2 linked regions of the Nothobranchius furzeri genome follow. The protein of the gene in region 2 purifies or fractionates together with the protein of the main gene of each other region. This does not show direct contact. Links are inferred from orthologs where the notes say so. Each region holds a gene or a part of one and is shown on either strand. Other genes may lie near its edges.

Region 1 (4,051 bases), on a different chromosome or scaffold from region 2:
CACATTAGACCACTCCAGTTTCATGTTTATTTATTTATTTATTTTTTGTAAAAATCATCAAACACTTTTCTTTTTGGTCCACAAAAGACAGGACTGAAGGAGCCAATGCAGTATATTCTCCAAGACTGATGTGAGGAGAAAGGATGCTTCATGTTAAAATAACACTATCATCAGCATACATTTGGAAGTGTACACTGTGTCACACATTTGGCACATCATATATATATATATATATATATAGATAAGGAAAATAATACTGGCCCCAAAATAGAGCCTTGTGGGACCCCCGCTGAACAATCAAGGTATGATGACATCGTGTCCCTCACACACTGTCTTCTGTTGGACAAGTAAGACTGAAAACAAGCTATAGTGCATTTTCTGCTAAATTGATGTGAGTCAGTTTGGACGGAAGGGCTTGATGGTCTACTGTGTCCATCGTCTTCTATAAATCCAAAAAACACTGCACCAACACAGGGGGTTTTATCGTGCAAGGATTTCACTGTTTCTACAAAGATCCAGTTTGCTGTCTCTGTGGAATGGTACTGCTGAAACCCAAACTGCATGGGTGCAAGAAAGAATGGTGGCTGTGTTTATTCAGCAGCTTTAAATATAAGGGTCATTCGCAAGAAACCTTAACTTTCTAAGTAAGATTAATTATTTAAACAATGATAAGGTGAAGGTTTTTTTTGTTGTTATTTTGTTTTTTACAAGGCTTTAATGAACCGGTTCACCATTTCTTAGCTTGGTGGTCTCAGTGTGAAGAACCAAAACAATCAGACAGTGGCCCTGTCGGTACATCGTCAATCAAGTGAAGCATTTTCCACAGGCTTATTATTTCTTCTTTTATAAGTTTCTCAATTTACACAGATTACTCCATTGTATTTAAATTAACTTACTTTAATCTGTGTTTTTGTGTATTTTGTGCTTTATGTGTATGGCTGAGACAAGTTTCACTATTGGTCAGTAAAGTGAACCTGGACCTATAAAAGAGCTTTTATTTGCACAGTCAGATGGAATAACTGTTAATTAATCCGTTATTAAAAATAACGAGGCAATTTTAAGTGTTCCAACTATAATTATTTGTGTGTGTGTGTGTGTGTGTGTGTGTGTGTGTGTGTGACTTTTTCATGTGTTTTAGGCAATTTGGCGAAATTTACTGAAAGAAATTAGAAATTATTTCACTAATCTCAGTGACTCGGTTTTAATAGTTTATATTTATAATTGTATTCTAACTTACGGGGCATTTCCGATCAGGCATCTCCGCGGACACCTCTGTATGGTGTCATTACCCATCATTCCTTTCGGCCTGCCTTTTCCTCCATCTTTCTGGACTAGGAGCAGGTAAGCGTTGACTTCTCCTAATCAAACTTAAATTTCACCTGTAAAGTGTTTCATCTGAGGCCGATACCGGTCTGCTCTCCGCAGGCAGCGTCCCCTCCGTCCTCCGGTGTGTCGGTGTCCGTACTGGAAGTCCCGATTGTGGAGATTCGGTTCGGATGATGGAGCTAACGGCGGCTAACCAAACAGAGTCCGGTGTATGCATCGGGATGGGAGCGTTACAATTCACGGCGCTCCGTCGCTTTCTCGGGTCGTGTTCGGGTGTTTCCGGGAACGAAAAGCGTGACTTTTTCTTTCTAACGTAAGAAGCTGTTTTAAAGCGTAACCCGCTGTTAGCCGCGCTTTAATTTAGCCGTTTGTTCCGGGACCAGAGACCTGATGAGCTTCTGTTTGGACCTCCTTAACTCACCGGAACTTCCGGAATCACCGCGGAATCGGTTCGGTGTTTTCTCATGTGATATAGACACTGAAGATCTGTTATTGGGCTATACTGGTTCCGTTTCTGGAGTGGACTGGGTGGCGTTAGAAGTGAGGAGGAACCTTTCCCTAGAAGTTGAAGGCTAAAGCCAAATATGAACTCCTGCAGGAGAAAGGGACAGCCAAGTTAAAAAGGAGCTCTGTTAAATGGGAACCTGCAGTTCTAACGAGACACTTTCTGTTTGTACAGGTGAGCTCGCCTGAAGAGGACAACGATGCCTGGAAGGTAAGTTCAGATCTCTCCTGGGTTTTCAGATGTTGAGCAGATCAGAGATCAGCAGCTGGGGGTTCTGATTGTTTGGTCCATTTCAGTAGGTGTTACCTGCTCTAGGAGGGGTTATGATCCAAAATTATCAGAAAGTTCTCAGCTGTTCCGATACAAGTCAGACTGCAGACTCTTATCGGGACTATGTTGATGTTTGTCTCTTGTTGGTTCTCTTCTGACCCAGACTGTGGAGCAAGGCCATCTTCACCGGCTACAAGCGCGGTTTGAGGAACCAGCGTGAGCACACGGCGCTGCTGAAGCTAGAAGGCTGCTACAGCAAAGACGAGGTGGACTTCTACCTGGGGAAGCGCTGCGCTTACGTCTACAAGGCCAAGAAGTAGGGACCGCACACACTGGTGCTGCTGCTTCGTCTCTGGGGCTCCTGGGGACTGACTCTGGGTCTGTTTCACCACAGGAACACGGTGACACCCGGTGGGAAACCCAACAGGACCAGAGTGATCTGGGGGAAGGTAACCCGGGCCCACGGCAGCAGCGGGATGGTCCGAGCCAAGTTCAGCAGCAATCTGCCGGCCAAAGCGATCGGACACAGAATCCGTGTGGTGAGTTCTTCTACTACCTGCTGCGTCCCCCAGACCCGTCTCCTCGTCTCAGACCAGGTCCACCTCAGTCTTTAGCAGCAACACGGTTGGCTGATCGTCATTAGACCCTTTACTGACGATGGGGTCAAAGTTCTCTCTCTCTGTGTGTGTGTGTGTGTGTGTGTGTGTGTGTGTGTGTGTGTGTGTGTGTGTGTGTGTGTGTGTGTGTGTGTGTGTGTGTGTGTGTGTGTGTGTGTGTAAAACTGGTACTAATTGTTTTAATTGTTTTTACTTCCTGTTTGGATCAGTTGGGCCTGACCCATTAGAATAGTTCTAAGACAAGGTGACAGATCATTTGCTGCTGTGACCTCCAGACTCTAGAACCTCTCCCTGAGCCTGAGATCAGTGGACTTAATGGTCTCCTTTAAAAAAAAGCAACTGAAGAATTACCTGGTCAGACGTTTGGGGACATTTTGTCATTGAGCCGGTATACTGGTACAACAAAACTTGCGTTTCAGCATGACCCGTCCACGATTTAGACAAGCAACACTTTTAAAAAAACCAAGCACGACCAGGCTGACTGGCTCCTGAACCACCGCTCGTTAACGGCTCTTTTTTCTAGTGTTTCTGCATCTTTCTTTCTCTTTTATCTTCAAAGAGGTTCTACACCTATAACATAACGTCAGCGGGCAAATCTGGTCAATTCAATAGAAAACAGCTGGTATTTGACCCAATTCCTCTGGAGGTTTTTTTGGACGCGTCACTCTGATGGCGTCTTCTCACCCGTGTCATTGTGGCCAGGGATGCACAAGCTGCATCAGTATCTGTATCGTCTGACGAGTAAAACTGGGTCGATGTTAAACAATAGTTTTTCCATCTCGTTTCCATTTAGGCAGTTTTGAGTGTGTGTGTGTGTGTGTGTGTGTGTGGGGGGGGTGTATGTGTAATTTTTTTTAGTCATGTGACAGTGTGTTTGTGTGTGTGTGTGAATAAAAAAAATCAGTATCTTCAAATATCGGTCATTGGCCATAACAGTAATATTGATATCTGTATTGGCCCAACGTTTTCATATCGGTGCATCCCCAATTCATACAGTCTTCTCCTCTTTACAGATGCTGTATCCATCTCGGATCTGATGGGGTTGGATCATCTGGATGTTTGTACAGAAACAATAAACAGATTAAAAATCATGATCTCAGTGTTTTTCCTTCGTGGATCGGCTGGTCAATAGTTGATCAGCTGAGTTTCTGATCTAAAAGATCTTTAAAGAACAGAATTTCTTTTGGACTGATATCTGAAGTCGTTTGTTTTAACTGATGAAACAAATGAGCTGCAATCCTGGGTGATTTAAATCCACTGAAGAACCAGAACCTGAGACCCGATGGTTCCGAAGGGATCATAAGAACTTTTTCTGTTTCTGTTTGGAGTGCAC
Region 2 (3,500 bases):
TAATAATCTTAATTTTTTGTTTCTTAAACCCTCAAAGAATTATGTACAAAAAAAAACAGTATTAGGAAATTAAAAAGGCACATCTATGGTGATATTTATTCTGTAATACAGTGACTCAGCAGTGACCCGAGGCACTCGGTACCTGCAGTGGATGATCATAGGACCAGTGTTAAATTCGTCCTGCTTAGCGTTGACTTGGGTGAGGAAGCTGAGGACTCCGCCTGGTTCCTGAGGGACGCCGTGATCGGGCCAGCTGAGGTACTGGTAGTGCCATACTGGACGGGAAAAATTGGGCTGGGAGTGAGAAAAAAATGGTTTCAGATATATATTTTTTACTTTACAGCCTTTTAATCTTCTTGTGAATGTACTTTGATGCTGTTACACCTAAATTTCCCCATCAGGGGACTATAAAGGATGTTCTTATTCTAATCTATTACATAAATGCAAATGTTTCCTCCAAAATGTTATAGTTCTGGACTAAAGTGATCTGAAAAACCACCACAAAGGCTGAAGATACTTTAAGCTATTGCTTTCAAACTGGTTTCAGTGGTTTTTGAGCCATAAATTTGACCGACTTCACATTGGACAGCACTCCGTTTCCCCCTGCTGACCAGAAACTGGACCAAACAGTTCTATGGTTTGGGTAGGAACACTGGTGGGAGATCTCTACCCTGTTCTATAGCTGTTACCCCCAAATTCCACTACCTCCGCTCCGCTGCGCTCCGCTCCGACACGAACGCCGGAGCAAAATCGGTCCCGTTCTAGTCAATCAGAGCAATTCCACTACTGCGGCCGTGCTCCGGCAGTGCGGCGCCGTGCGGCGCCCTCTGTTCCGGCGTCCGGCAAAAATAGAATCGATCCTATTTTTGCCGGACGCCGGAGCACCTCCGCAGTAAATGGACAGAAATCACAACGGCCCAACAGGAAAAGGAGCAAGCACATCTTCCGTTTTTCACAATAAATCGATAAACAAAAGGCGTTTTTTGTTTCATATGCACAGGTTTAACAACTTTTAACAACTATCAATGGCGGCTGAAGTTTAAATGCACAAAAATAAGCCATAAATACAGTTGCCACTATCAAAGTAGTCACACTTTGTTGATCCAAACACTGCTGATCTCTCAACACAATGATGGGCAGATTAAACAGCTCATTTCGATGCTTCTCCCGCACAACGGGTGTTTGGATCTAACTTCCGCGTTTATTGCTCGGACTGTATCGCAAGATCTCGAAAATCCCGCGCATGCTTGTTTGCCCCCCTCAGGTCTCCGCACCGGAGCGGAGCCGTTGTAGAGCGGATACCAGTAAAAATTGAGTTCGGAAGCGAGCGGCTGCGGAAGGCGGGGGCGGACCGGAGCGGAGCGGAGCGGAGGTAGTGGAATTTGGGGGTTAGTTGTTTATTGTGCTACTAGCAGTTAGCTAAAAAGGCTAGTTAGCTTTTTTTGGTTCACTTACTGTCAAGAAGAAGACGACTTTTGCTTTTTTTGTTGGCATCATGGCAGAGAATTCGAGTAAGAGAGTAATGTCTTTGGAGCAGAAGCAAAGAGCTAAAACCTGAGTGAACATCGGCACGCCCTACGCTAGTTTGAGGGAGCTAAACGAGGCTGCAAAATCACGGCCTGATGGTGACCTGGCTTTGTTGCTACTGGACGTGTAAGTAATAATATCCTTTCTCCAACAGTGTGGAACTTTTTACTTTGTGGTTTATTCAGTATCAGTTGGCTAGCACTAGCTTGTTAGTGCTAGCTACGACAGGCTGCTACAAGGTTGTTTATAACAGTTGTATTTCTGCTTTCAACCAGCAGAGGCAGGAAATGTATTTAGTGTTGCTTTAAGGATCACAACGAAGAAAATCTAAAAGAAGGAGGGACGACTAAAGTGCACAGAGTTGATGATGTCAGAGGTTTGAAAGTGACCTTAGCCACGGGAGCGATCTTCAGATGTCGAACTTTGTAATCAGAAGCTTCCCGCTCCGACTCACAGGTCACCACGTAATCTCCCACGTTCTTGGAAGTCTGACTTTCCGGCCAGTATGGTACGCATTTATTCTGCAGAAAAGCAAAAAAAGACACTCAGATAATCTCTAATATCATCAGCAAATGTAGATTATTGCATCTCAGCCAATAAAGTTCATCTTTATTCAGTAGGAATGTTTGGATTTTTTTAAGTGTCTGTTCCTGTCATTTTGGATACTGACCCGTCCTTTCTCCACCTCTCTCGTTGTCATGACAATCACAGTTGTGTTCTCCTGCCACACCATCTGCCAGAAATCGTTGACGGTTGTTGCGAGGCATCCCTGAGTGGCGATGTACTTTTTCTGTCCAACAGATTCCCACAGCTTGTTCTGCAACCAACACACAAACACGCTAAAGGCCCAGACGGTTTTCAGACGGCGGCGCTGCTCGTCCAGAGCGTTCCACCACTTACTTTCACGTAGTTAGCATTGATGTAATCGGAGCCGACGACATCAGGAGAAGCGTTCTTCAGGATGACTCTGGTGTCGTTGACTTGTGAGAGAAGACAAGAAGAGGGAGACAGGATTGGTCACAGAACCGGGTTTTTGTTTACAGAGCGAGAACCAGAAGGTTAAAACTCACAGGGAAGAATGTTCTTGTATCTGTTTTTGCTCTTATTCTCTGGTCTTTGACCTTCCTCTCTGCTCTTTTTCACCTTCGTCTCCAATTTTTGAAGAGCCTGCAAGAGAAGAGATATTTGTGTCAGATACTGGGAATTACATACGATTTTATTGAGACAAACTCATCAAAATAAATGTATTTTTGCAATTTCCTATATGCAGGAACAAGAAAAACTCCTAATTCCTCCTAGCTATTCTCTAAATGACCTTGTTTGTTTTTGTTCTGGTCCTCTATTTAAACCTTTGTAGGTCTCATAAAAGGATGACCAAACATTTTCACTTTGATTTTTCACTAATCCTTTTTATATTTTGGCAGATTTTTCACCCGTTTTCTGTCCAGTTCAGTCAAAATATCTGTGCAGTGTGTCAGAAAAAACTGAGGCAACTTGATGTGTGAGCTTTGGGAAAAAAGTCCTAAATGATAAAGGTTTAGAAGAACTGATGTTAACAAATAAAAAGATTTGGTGTCTGTGTCCAGCTGCTGGTAACAAACATCCTGGAGATCCGTATTTCAAAACCAGTTTCTTTGTTCAGCTGCTTGTTATGTGTTGAGCTCAGGATGTTTTATTCATTTTCTTTAGCATTATTGATTCATCGGTCAAGGTTTGGAGGTCTAAATGGAAAGCTGATCCTGTGTAAGGAAGAACGAAAGATCAGGAGAAAAAACTAGAATTAAAATAAAAGGCAAAAAAAAAAACGATCAAGGAACCTGTTGTTCTAGTTTACAGGAGAATGTTTAATTTAAAGCTGTGCTCTATAGCTATATAACATAATGCATGAGGATTGTGAAGGTTAAGTAGATTTTACAGCTACACTGCAAAAAATGAGTTCTAAAAAAGAAAAAAATTCAATTTTTTTAAACATT

What was found.
Region 1: the proteins of ptpn6 (region 2) and rpl35a purify together in Homo sapiens (affinity purification with mass spectrometry; 3 studies listed by BioGRID and IntAct, with this or other methods). This does not show direct contact. The link is inferred for Nothobranchius furzeri from reciprocal best matches to the Homo sapiens genes PTPN6 and RPL35A.

The regions. Positions count from the first base shown.
Region 1 is NC_091753.1:55,779,260-55,783,310, forward strand, and holds rpl35a (large ribosomal subunit protein eL33), read left to right. Parts: upstream 1-1,251; 5' UTR 1,252-1,341; intron 1,342-1,426; exon of another isoform or gene 1,427-1,639; intron 1,640-2,005; 5' UTR 2,006-2,030; coding exon 2,031-2,041; intron 2,042-2,264; coding exon 2,265-2,417; intron 2,418-2,495; coding exon 2,496-2,640; intron 2,641-3,731; coding exon 3,732-3,755; 3' UTR 3,756-3,809; downstream 3,810-4,051.
Region 2 is NC_091745.1:73,963,614-73,967,113, forward strand, and holds part of ptpn6 (tyrosine-protein phosphatase non-receptor type 6), read right to left. Parts: intron 2,695-3,500; coding exon 2,598-2,694; intron 2,508-2,597; coding exon 2,428-2,507; intron 2,345-2,427; coding exon 2,198-2,344; intron 2,049-2,197; coding exon 1,917-2,048; intron 295-1,916; coding exon 143-294; intron 1-142. UniProt on the Homo sapiens protein: Tyrosine phosphatase enzyme that plays important roles in controlling immune signaling pathways and fundamental physiological processes such as hematopoiesis.